Linked DNA regions of Nothobranchius furzeri. The protein of the gene in region 2 purifies or fractionates together with the protein of the main gene of each other region. This does not show direct contact. Links are inferred from orthologs where the notes say so. Each region holds a gene or a part of one and is shown on either strand. Other genes may lie near its edges.

Evidence for each region. The genes of interacting proteins can lie anywhere in the genome.
Region 1: the proteins of psmc3ip (region 2) and mnd1 purify together in Homo sapiens (co-immunoprecipitation; 6 studies listed by BioGRID and IntAct, counting the BioPlex papers as one, with this or other methods). This does not show direct contact. The link is inferred for Nothobranchius furzeri from reciprocal best matches to the Homo sapiens genes PSMC3IP and MND1.

The regions. Positions count from the first base shown.
Region 1 is NC_091744.1:16,840,740-16,847,231, reverse strand, and holds the end of mnd1 (meiotic nuclear division protein 1 homolog), read left to right. Parts: intron 1-554; coding exon of another isoform or gene 555-640; exon of another isoform or gene 641-885; intron 886-3,477; coding exon 3,478-3,522; intron 3,523-4,251; coding exon 4,252-4,358; 3' UTR 4,359-4,920; downstream 4,921-6,492. UniProt on the Homo sapiens protein: Required for proper homologous chromosome pairing and efficient cross-over and intragenic recombination during meiosis.
Region 2 is NC_091745.1:7,581,762-7,587,245, reverse strand, and holds psmc3ip (homologous-pairing protein 2 homolog), read right to left. Parts: upstream 2,754-5,484; 5' UTR 2,659-2,753; coding exon 2,640-2,658; intron 2,415-2,639; coding exon 2,314-2,414; intron 2,245-2,313; coding exon 2,155-2,244; intron 2,082-2,154; coding exon 1,970-2,081; intron 1,901-1,969; coding exon 1,755-1,900; intron 1,677-1,754; coding exon 1,623-1,676; intron 1,536-1,622; coding exon 1,476-1,535; intron 1,406-1,475; coding exon 1,349-1,405; 3' UTR 1,127-1,348; downstream 1-1,126. Other genes in the region: retreg3 (reticulophagy regulator 3), read right to left, coding at 4,893-5,437. UniProt on the Homo sapiens protein: Plays an important role in meiotic recombination. Stimulates DMC1-mediated strand exchange required for pairing homologous chromosomes during meiosis.

The DNA of each region.
Region 1 (6,492 bases), on a different chromosome or scaffold from region 2:
TCATGGTTAAACAGTACATGTTAAAATCTAAGCTCAGCTCGGCAGTGACCTAACCTTTCCTAGCTCATTCTCTGCTTATACTGTTTGCAGTCAAACAGCTTCTGTAAAGTATCATTCTAGTAAATGATGCATGGACTTCCAGAGCAACCCACTCCTTCATTACGTTCACGGCTCTCCACATCAGACAACTGGCAGATTTCTAGCTTACAGAAGAAAGTAGTACATCCTGGTTTTGATCCTTTGTTGCTAAGAATATTTATTGTGAATCGATTTGAATTGAGAATGGATTCTGAATGGAATCTTCACCCCGAGAATTGGAATCGAATTGAATCGTGAGATGTTGTAAGAATCACACTGTCACTGTTTATAGAGTTTAAGGTTCAGCATCAGAACATACCACCTGCCAGCAGTCAGAAACGTTCTGCATGTGAAGGATGGCTGTTTGAACCATAAACTAGTTAAATATTAATGACAGGCTTCCCTCATCAACACTGGTAGATTGGTTCTAACTTATTTTTTGTTGCCTTTTCAACGACTCCCGCGATTTTCTTCAGAGCTCCGTGACATCTGGTGTGTCGAGGTTGTTGCTGCAACAATAGAACAAGGTTTCCAGCCATCGGGATACCAGATTTGTTGCTGATAAGTGGAATTTTTTTGTTTGACTCCATCTGTTGAAAATGAAGCTAAATTAATTAATTAATTGTTGACATTTTAACAAAATTTGTTAATTACAGTTTTACTTTTATTCATAGTTAAAGTATTATTACGTACATATGTGTGTAAATAGATATCCTAGCAGCCCTGCTGTGGATGTATTGCAGTCTGAATGGTTTCTCCAGAAACCCTGATGAGGAGAACATTACAGTAGTCCAACTGGAGGAGACAAAGGCATGGACAAGCTTCTCTGCATCTGCCTGGCTTAGCATTCGACGTGGTTTTGCCTAAGGTGATAATAATAAGTCTTACACTGGTGTTTGTTGTGGGTGTCAAAGGTGAGTTGTGAGTCCATTTTGTCACCCAGATTGGTGACAGTAGGTATGCTTTGGCCAGAGAAGGTAGTGCTGGAGCTGCTGTCCGACCCTGACATGAGCATTTGCAGAGTTGTGGACGATGGCTAAGAGGAACTTTTTCTTTTTAAACTCCAGGGAGATGATACCTGACTTCACTAAGAGTATAAGTGACCAGGTTTTAACTAAGAGAATGGTCTTTTTTCTGAGAATGTATTCTAATTCAATAAATGCTGCTGTGTCCATCCATCTGCTGATCTGGAGTCGGATGGTGTGGGCAGCAGCCTAAGCAGAGAGGCCCTGACTTCCCTTTCTCCAGCCACTTGAGCCAGCTCCTCGGGGGTTATCCTGAGGCATTCCCAGGCCACCCCTCTATTGTGTTCTAGGTCTTTTTTAGATCTCCTGGTTGGACCTAACCAGGGAGACGTCCAGGAGGCATCCTAACCAGATGCGCGAACCACCTCAATTGACACCTCGATGTGGCGGAGCAGCAGATCTACTTCTCGCTTTATCTCTAATCGGGTGGCCCAGACGCCCCGGGGAGAAAGCTCATTTTGGCTGCTTGTATCTGCGATCTCATACTTCGGTCACTACCCAAAGCTCGTGACCGTAGGTGAGGGTTGGAATGTTGATCAACCGGTCTGGTACAACGCTCGCATCCCTGCAGATGCAGCACCAATTTGCCTATCGATTGTTCCCTCAAGTGAACAAGACCCCGAGATACTTAAACTTCTCCACTTTAGGCAGGACCTCGTCCCTGACCTGGAGAAGGTATTCTACCCTTTTCCGATCCAAGACCACGGTCTCGGATTTAGAGAAGCTGATTCTCATTCCAGCTGCTTCACGCTCCACTGCGAACCGCTCCAAGTAAAAGCTGGAGATCAGTCTAAGAGAGTTAACAGGACCACAATATCTACAAAAAACTTCAGGCCACCAAAACAAACCGCCCAACACCTTGACAGCACCTAGATATCCTGTCCATAACAGTTGTGGATGGTATCAGTGACAAAGGGCAGCCTTGGTGGTGTCCGCCAAGGCTGTCCACATGTCTTAGACAAATATTTGAGACAGAAGGGAAATCACCTGTGTGCTCTTACTTTCAAACTTTGTTTTCATCCAGCTGTCTACGTGCCTGCAGGTCTGATTATCTACTTTCTGGCCTCACACACACACACACACACACACACACACACGCACACGCGCGCACATGCACACACACACAGGGTTTTGTTAAAGATAACTATCTCTTTAGTGATGATTGAACCTTGTAGAGGCGTGTGCAGCTGTGCTCTGAGGTTTCTCGTGTTTTGTCTGCTGCAGATTAAAGTCAGACTTGTAGAAAGCCTTGTATGCTAAAGTTCTTATTTCCAGTATCTTTAAACATGAAATTATAATTGATTAAAACATTTTGGTTGATCAGAAGCTGTCTGTCAGTTCCAGACTCACTGTTGAACCAGAAACTGCTGAGCCATCTGGTTTTATTCCACTAAAGTGTACCTACAGACAACGCCCTCTTGATCAAGCCAAGTCACACGCAGCTGTAAATGTTCTGGTTCGAGGCTGTTGCCACGCCCACATAAACCAGTTGTAGTAACAGGTGAGGTGGGTGTGCACACAGCAGGGCAAAAGGCTTGTGTTTTGGGTTAATTTAGTTCATCAACAGTCCTCCTCACACCTGTAGTTCCCAGATTAGGCAGCTGCAGTTACACATGGGGTTAAAATCACAACAGTTTATTTGTACTTATAACACCCACTAGTTAGTGAATGATAAACATCTTTTGAAATCAATTAAAGACCAGTTTTCTTTATAAAAACACTATTCTTGATCAAGGAGCCTTGTTCCTGCTAAATAAAAGAGCAATAAGGATAAAATGGCAAGTCCAAATTGGAAGCACTAGTTTAATGAGTTAGATTTCATTGCTGTATCCGGTTACTTCCTCCTCCCATCTGCAGTTATAAACTACCAACCCTGTTGTGGCAGTTAACCTGTAGTAGTTTATCTTTACTAAACTTAAGGTTGTTAATCACTTCCATATGGAGCCCAAATACTTATGTGATCAGTATCAAGTTAAAATGTGGTTTTATTGCTATGGAAGCACTCACCTCAGATTGATTTGCTTATGTGAAATGGAAGGTAAAGTAATTTCTGCCACTGGATTTTCTTACTTCCTGTTGTAGATTTTAATTTGAAGAAGCAGCTCAGACTGGTTACGGTTCATTATGTAGCTGTGTTTTAGCTTTTTAAGCCAATGTTGTTTTAGTTAGACACCAGCAATATCACTCACATCTAACAATTCAGGCGTGAGATTGACTGTAGCACTCAGCGCACTTCTCAGCATCTCACTGAGCTGTCGACAGTCTTACGAGTTCAGGATCTGCCTTAAAAGTCTCCTTTGCCAGATTTTTCTTTTGCTGTTTAAACCATTTATGCAGAAGTGGTAAATAAATGGAGGTTTTTGGTGTCTTACAGGAAAGTCCAACGGAGTGGCAAAAGAAGCTGTCTCCAGGTGGACAGGTGAGTCATTTTTACGTTTATACATGGACATCAATTCAAGATGAATGAAACTCGTCTTAAAAATATGAACTTTTTTCTATGGGATTGTGTAGTTCTGTTGTTCAAGAGGCAACATTTCCATCAGTTTTATGGCTTGTGTTGTAGTAAAGGAAATATTATGGGATGTTGTTCTAATGGTTGAAGACTTTTGTTGGACGTTAACTCTTCAGATTTGAGACGATGGTAAATTTAGATTTTTGTTGTTTTATATGTTTTTTATATTACAGTTAATGGAAACAGATCTCTGCATTTATTTATACAACAGTAGAAACAAAAACTAAGTTTGAGCCTCTCCTAATAGATGACTCAATCCAGCCATCCTCCTCCAGCTCTTAGCTCGACTTGTGCATTTGTTGACTTCGTAATGAGATCGGACCGCTGGTCATACTGGTAACCAGTCTCCTGACTGGTTAGGCTAAAAATACTTAGTGCTGGTTAACAGAAATGTTTTGTTGACTGAAGATTTTTTGCATTCACAGAAGTCACGGGTTCCATTTCTGTCTGGAGGTTTTTTTCATGAAATAGTCAAATCTTTGGCTAAAGCCTGAATATTTACTAGGATTAATAGGTTTTGTTGGCGAGATCACTTGGTGTCGATCCCTTTCTTTTTTCCAACTGACTGAATTAAAAGGCTTTTTCTTTATTGGTGAAATTGTCTTTATTTTTATTTTATTTTTTTTTTTTTTGCAGACAACGTTTTTGCCATCAAGTCCTGGACCAAAAAGAAGTTTTCTTTTGATGATGGCCACATTAATAAAGCCTTTGGCATCCCAGAGGACTTTGACTACATGGACTGATTGGAATATTCAACCAAAACAGAAGAAAAAATGTGTTAAAGATTCTGTTTGAAGCTCAGTTTCCTAAAAGCTTCTGTTCTGGTTTCTGTTCTGAGCTTTAAAGTTAAAACATGAATGCACCACCGTTCATTTTTACAGCCTGTAGTTAGAAGTAGGTGCTGTTTCAGCGTGCCAGATGGACCTCATCAGTGGAGATACTGCTTGGGTGCAACCGGAGACAAGATCAAGCCAGCCATTAGTGACTGTGAGGGGTTCTGGGGTAGACACAAGTGAGCAGCTTGACTTCTTGGACACCTGTTTGCATGAAAACTGAGAGCTCCAAACTGTTGATGGAAAGAAATCAACACTCAGTCATCTGCATCTCTAATTGGTGCATTTATGTCTTAAACAGATGTGTTGGGATGGAATATTGGGTGAACCTTTTTCCTCTAGATTTAAGATTTTTCTGTTTTATTCAGAACACATCCAAAAGAATAAAGCTACAGCTATATGTTTTGCCGTTAATGTTAAAAATATTTATTGGTTTTACTTTTAAATAAACTGTTCGACAAGCTTGGCACAACTCGTGCATATTTGTGCATCAAACCTGTTCTTTTGCTCATCTTTTTGAGAAACTGCACCCGTGGTGTTGCACAATCTGTCATTGAAACATTTCTTTCCCACTTTATGTACCCAAAAAAAGTCTAGAATGACTGTTATGTTTTTTTCTCCTTCCATGTTAGCTAAAACTAATGCAAACCTTGTATTTGGGTATTCTGTGTTTACTCATTCGACCTAGTTGATAAAGTCGGTGTGCCTTTGGTTGGTTGATTTAAATTTCAAATATGCTCTGTGCAGGCAGGACGTTAGTGTGGTTTCAGCACCGCCTGTTCATAGCATGAAGGTCTATGTTGAATGTGCAGATCTGTTTGTGAGCAGATTGCCTTTTTTATCTTCTACAGGGCTGCGTGGGCTCTTTCTGGGTTCTTTGGTTTCCTCACACAGTCAAAAAGCGTTCAAGTCAGATTAATCTACTAACTAAATAAAACCTTGGTGTGTTAGACCTGTGATACCGTGTCTCAAGTGTAACTCGTCTCTTTGTTAGGCATGAACCACAAAGATTTTTTTAAACACTTTGCAACAATTTTTGCACAAAAGGTGAGTACTCTGTTGTTTTTGAGAACTGTAAAGCAACATTTGTAGTTGTGCAAATGCGATCACTGCAGCAGCATTAACGCAACATGAGAAGAAAGAATGTAGACTCCCAGCTGCATGACACGCCCACGTGTGTGAGGTGTTGCTTCATGTGTGTACCTGTCTAACCAGTCCTGACTGATTCATGCAGCCGACACGCTGAATGTCAACACCATAGAAGATGTTTCAGTTTTCCTCAGCAACTTGGACTATACCTGGAACTTCTGCTTAAAGTATACCGCCTCCTAAGATATGGTTGGATGGTTTCTGCTTGCTGTGTTTGAACACTGCTGGGAAGATTAAGAGTTTCACAGAAACATTTTGTAATAAACTTGTTCTCATACTTAGACACTGGTTGTATATGTCTTTGGGTCACTAACTGTGCTAAATATTTTTCTGAGATGCCAGAGTGAAAGTACATTCATTTTTTATTTGAGATAATGCATTTGGGCAGTGTGATAATGTTACAGGTTTAGTGTTTAAAGGTGGAATATGGAACACGAACACCAAAGCGACATCTAGGGTGTGATGGTTGTAATTGCAACAATAAAACAAGGTTTTCATTCGTCGGGATTCCAGGTTTGCTGCTAAGACGTGAATTTTTTTATTTGTGTCCATCTGTTGTAGGCTTCATCTAAACTCACTCTGGTTTTAGATCTTTTATGGTCACTCCTTTTCTAAAAAGGATAATGATGTCATCTGGGCTCAGAAGCAGCTGCTTGACTTGCTGAGTCTGCAATTTTCCACAGAGCCAGCCTTGCTATGCCAGTGGACTGGCATTGGTGCCCTCTATAGGCTGGTAGATGTAAACATAAACCCACTGTCATGCCTGTCAAAATAAATATTTGAATAGTTTTTAATTAAGGTTGAGATTTACTCATTTATTCAGTACATTTGTAGTGTTTTCTAGTGTAAATCAATGCCTTATGAATAATTTAAAATTTAAAAAGCTATGACGTTC
Region 2 (5,484 bases):
GTGTTTTCTTAGCAGGAATTTAAAAAAAGCTGCCTTCAGCCACTTTCTGACCGTGTTTACATTCCCATAGAGCTGAGTGTAAAACACGAGAAAATTTCAACTTATGCTTTCAAACAGAAAAATGTTAGCACACATTTTAGCCTCATCGCTACAAAAATCTGACTTATTCCATTTATTTATACATGTGGTCCTTTTTTCCGGCGCAGCACGTCTGCCATTCCTGTCAACGGTCACTGCTCCAACGCTGAACGCAGCTTCTGTGGCGCCTCAGAGAAACACACTGGTGGTTTTAAAGTCCTCTGCCTTCAGTGTGGCGGTAAATAAATGGTTAGTTCCAAGAATGAGGCGGATAAATGTTGTAAATATGCCACAGGTCTCCAACAGGCTTTAGTGTTTAGTCACAGTTTAGCTGCAGGTGACCTGTCAAAAAGGTTCATTTAGCAGGTGTTGATTTTAATGAGCCTTCTTTGAATTTCAGCCCGATTTTAAATGCTGTCGTGTTTTCATGATCCGTGACGTCGCTCTGTGCTACAGTGAAAGCAGAAACTCTAAAATGCATCAGTTTGTTTTTTTTATTCCAAACCTCTGACTCTAGATTCTCTAGGATCAGCAGCAGATTTGAACGTTTTGTTCTTGTGGACATGATCTGCTGCGGAAGTCTGGCTCGTTTCATGTTCTAATATTTTTCTGTTTGAAATGTTTAAAAGGTTACGCACAGATAAAAACACACAGCCACTAAAGTCTCTCTAGTTTTTCCCGTAACGTCAAAACTGCACTCTTCCCTCTGCCCTGTTGTGTATATGTTCAGTGGACTGCTGCTGATGCTGTTTTGATGACATCGCATGGTGGCCGGTGGTGAATTAATCACCATCAGGAGAGAAACTTCAATTTATGGACTTAATATTTTATTTGCATACGAGAACATAAAGTGCAAAACCAACAGCAGAAAAGGGCAGGATCGTAGTTTTGTAGTGGTGACCAGCGAATGAGCCCAAAGCAGTTTTGGCAGTATTAACAACTGTGAAAATGTTGATTTAGAAACAGCTGAACAGTTCACTCTATATAATAATGTATGCAGCAAACTATCTGAAGCCTGTTAGAGGTTTGAATCATTTGCTGACTTTCTATGTAAGCTCAGGATAATGAAGATGCTTTAAAGGGGAGAAAACACCACAGTTGCCTTTAGGGTCACAATCAGCCCTCGATGCAGTAGCTACATGTAGTCTAGCCAATAAGAATGCTAACTTTTGTACAAATGTGTTTGATTTTTTTTCCTTTTATTATTTATTCGAAAGAAATGTTAAATAAAGTGGCTCAAAAAGCTCCGATGTGTGGTCCACTTCCTTGTTCAAGAACTTGGAACCACCACCTTACAGTCCTCGTCCGTCTCCACGCCAACCTCTTCCTGTAGAAGAACAAAGCTTGGAGGATTTGTTTTTCCATGTAGGAAATGTGATGTTGCTTCTTCAGCTCACCAGGAACTCCTTTTTGCTCTTTGGATATCCCTCCAGGATGGCGTTCATCATCTCTGAAGCCTGACAGACCCAAATAATTATTAAATGCTCGTTGCTGAAAACGTATCTGGTGTGAAGGCATTTCTAACTCCAAATGAATACATGTACCAATCTCTTCCTCTTTTTCCACTCCTTCACATAAACCTCTTGCTCTTTGTAAACCTGCAAATGAAAACATGAACGTGTGTTTCAGGGGAAAGCAGACCACCTCGCCAGAACGGAGACTTTATAGGTGCACACCTTCTCCTTCTCCTCTGGTGTGACATGGTTCGTAGCTGACTTGATCTTCTCCACGCGTGCTCTGTATCCAGAGCACTCCGCTTTCAGCTCTTTAATCTCTGCCACCATCTCTTCTGTAGTGAGCGAACTGTTCAGGCCCTTCAGCTCTGTCATAAACAAGAGTTAAACTCTGGGTCAAGCTGCAACAAGAGGCACCAGTCAGCAGGGTCCTGTACCTGCGTCTAGCTGTCTGCAGCTCTGTGTGAGGGACTGCAGCTCTGCACCAAGCTCTGAGATCTGACCATCCATCGCTTTCAGGTCATCATCCTTTACATCTTTAAACTGATTCTGTTTGCAGAGATTAACAATAGTAGAGTTAGGCATCCCAAAGCATGCTCCTGCCTACAGCAACACAACAAACCTGATCAGCAAAGTAGATCTTCTGCTTGCCATATATTTTCTCCTTTATTTTGCCCTCCTGAGCAAGCAGCTCCATGGCTTTGACCACCGCCTGTTGGGTGAATATAGTCCAACAATAGAGCAATGGCTACACAACACCAGCCCGAGGAGCGGATCTCACCGTTTTGCCCAATCCATGCTGCTTCTGCAGATTACAGAAGACGTCCTGAGCGCTGTAGGGTCGGTTCTTCTCGTTTAGGTAGGCAAGGATGACTGCCGCCCCTACGACAGCGATACATTATGATTTATAAATGGTTTCTTCCTACACAACAAAAACTCAAATCCGTAGGTGTTTAGCTAACGTTAGCTGGATGCTAACCGAGCTAAGCGGTCATTTTATTCCCGACGAGCTCAAACAATCGTTGCCTGCTCTTGTTGGATGTCTTAAAAGTCAAATACGTCGCTTAAATCTAAGATATTCTATAATAAAGATCACCCTAAACATACCGTTATCTTTTTTACTCATTTCAACCTGTCCGTTCTCACGTTAGCTGCCCTGATGTTGAGTTTCGCGCAATAATTTGCGTCACGCTAAAGATCGTTTATAAATGAGGATATCTCACTCTGACAGGAAAAGTTTCTCGGAAAAACCCAGATTTCATTTGTTGCCTTTATTTTTCAATATAAGCATTTTTATTTATACTTAGCTAATGTTGTACACATTATTTGTATCTTCAGCAGTTCTTTTCCATTATGTTTGCGTGGTTTCCAAAACAAAGTGAGACCCCTGTCATTTTGACTAAATCTTAATTTGTTCTAAGTGATAAATAAGGTTTAAAGAGCAAGTCACCCCCAAATAAACTTTTTTTTTTGCTGATAAACTAAATAAACGAGTGTCTAATCGTGCTGCAGACACGTGTCGTCAATAATTTGGCATTTCAGTGCATCTTAGTTAAAATTTAAATATTCTGCCTAAAACTGGCAGTGTTGTGCCGTTGTCAGGTAAAAACTCTGCACTGTATTTTAATTTAAATCTGCCACCGCTATTGGCTAAGAGGTATGCTATGATGTAAACTGGTATGATGTCACAATGCTGTCGTGAGCCTGTGTGTGTGTATTTGTTAGCAGCTCGGCCTTCTCGGTCTGCCAGGCAACAGCATTTGTTGCATTTTTCAAACATGAAGTGGGAGTAGACTCTGGTAGGGGTTTACTTGCTCTTTAAAGCCATCCTGGTTTAGTTCAATTTTAAATGTCACACGCATTATTATTATTATTATGAGACAAAAATCTTTGCAAACATTTTATTCAATGCAGTTTCAAAACATCTGCAAACCAGACAGAGAAATCAGCACTAAGCACATCACAGGATCACCTCTGCTGAAGATTTGTTAGACTTTTCATGAAGCAGCTTGGAAGATTCAGACTGAATCCTACAAAGGGAACATTTTAGGTGTCAGCAAGATTCCATCAGTGCAGCTTTTTACACCACACAGCTGTATTATGCTGTGGTAAAAATCTTGCAAACTCGTGAAAAACAATAATAAAAATAACTAAAGAAAGATTAATGTGGTTTTCTATTAAAAACAGAATTTTAGACTCGATATTTGGATTTCAATAAAATCTTAACTTAATATTTTTTGGTTTAAAGTGCCATTTCCTCTTTCTTATTTATTGAAGAATCAGGCTGATCAGCTCAAAAGAAAGCATTTATAGATGAACAACTAAAACATTTTTTTAATCCAAATTTGATGTAAACATGGGTCAATTTAACAATACGCTCTAACAGAGAATTTGATGACGATCCCATAAAGTTCAGCCTGGCTGTTGAATCCATCAAAAATGATCCAATTTAAAGTGATTTGATCTGATCTGGGATTTCTTTACAAACGAGAAACACGTCATAGAGACAGCTCGTGCAGGGACAGCCAAACTAAAAATAATCAACACTATTTCCACACATTCATAAATATACTGCACAAATATAACAGTACTCTGCTGGTTCAGGTAAGACTGATGTGGCCGACTAAATAAGCTCCCAAAGACAGATGTTTGCTTCTGTAATCAGAAAAACAAAACAGCGGAGTCATCCTGACAATTCAAATTTTTATGCAGATCAGTGAAATTTTAGAAAACACAACAGCTAACAAGAGTTTAAAAGCTAAAAGCTCTGAAAACATGCAACATAAAATAACCCCCCCTCTCATAAGAGGACAGAAACGTCCCACCACTAAATCCCATCTCAAAGGTTTGATAACTGGTTCATGAAGGATCGACGACTCCAGCAATGACTGAATGCACTTTAACATTAAAAGCTCCTTCATGCTGTCATTACTCATCAAAGACGGCTCAGGTTAAGCAACAGGAATGTCACATTTGGTCCTACAATAAAAAGCCCTGAAGGTCAAGTCCTCTGTGTAAAAAAAGGTTTCACAGGGCGGAGCTGTGTGTTCTGGGTACGAACAATGCCGTGTACCCAAATGTGTGATGTAGTTTACTTTGTTTTTGTGTTTCCTATTGCTCAGCCTACAACCTAAAAACTCCATCATCAAGAATTCAAACGTATAAAACAAGGATTTAAAAAGAGGAGAATGAAATACTTCACAGTGACTTACTGATGCCTACCAGAAGCAGGGCTGCTGGAACCTAAAATCACCTCACACGCACACACACGCGCGTGCGCGCACGCACACACACACACAATCATCATTTTACACTCTACCCACATAACTGCACACCCTCAGCAAAACACACACACACACTTCACTGTGGTTTACCAAGCAGGCTGGAGAAGAAGTTAGACCCCTGGCTGTCACCCCGTCTAGAACCCCCCCCTCCGAAGGGATCCATCTGGTTCAGTTCAGACTGATCCAGCATTTCAAAGTCTTCTGCATCCAAGTCCGTGTCAAACTCAGAGCTGGACTGTTTGCGGTAGCTCCGGTGGCCCCCGACCTGAGGGTGACCTTGCCTGCGTTGAGTGGTGGGAGGCCGAGGTTGCATTGCGCCCGCCAGCGCTGCCTGAATCATGTTGCTGGCAATGACTCCAGCCAAGTCTCCACTGATATCTGAGACAGGTGGAAGACCGCCGAGAGAAAGTTCTGAGTCCAGATCCTCCTGATCCGAGTCCAGATGAGCATCAACATCCAGCACTGAGGCCCGGTGACTAGCAGGTCCAGACAGACCCAGACTGGGCAGTCCGATGCTTGTGTCGTCTTCATCATCCATCAGGGTGGCATCGGGGTTAATGGATGGGAAGTCTGGGAGGTCTTGGGCAAAAGATTCTTCTGCGTCACTGTGTCTGTCGAGATCTGATCAAATGCAGACAGAAAGACGTCAGAGGAGAGATCAAAAAAGA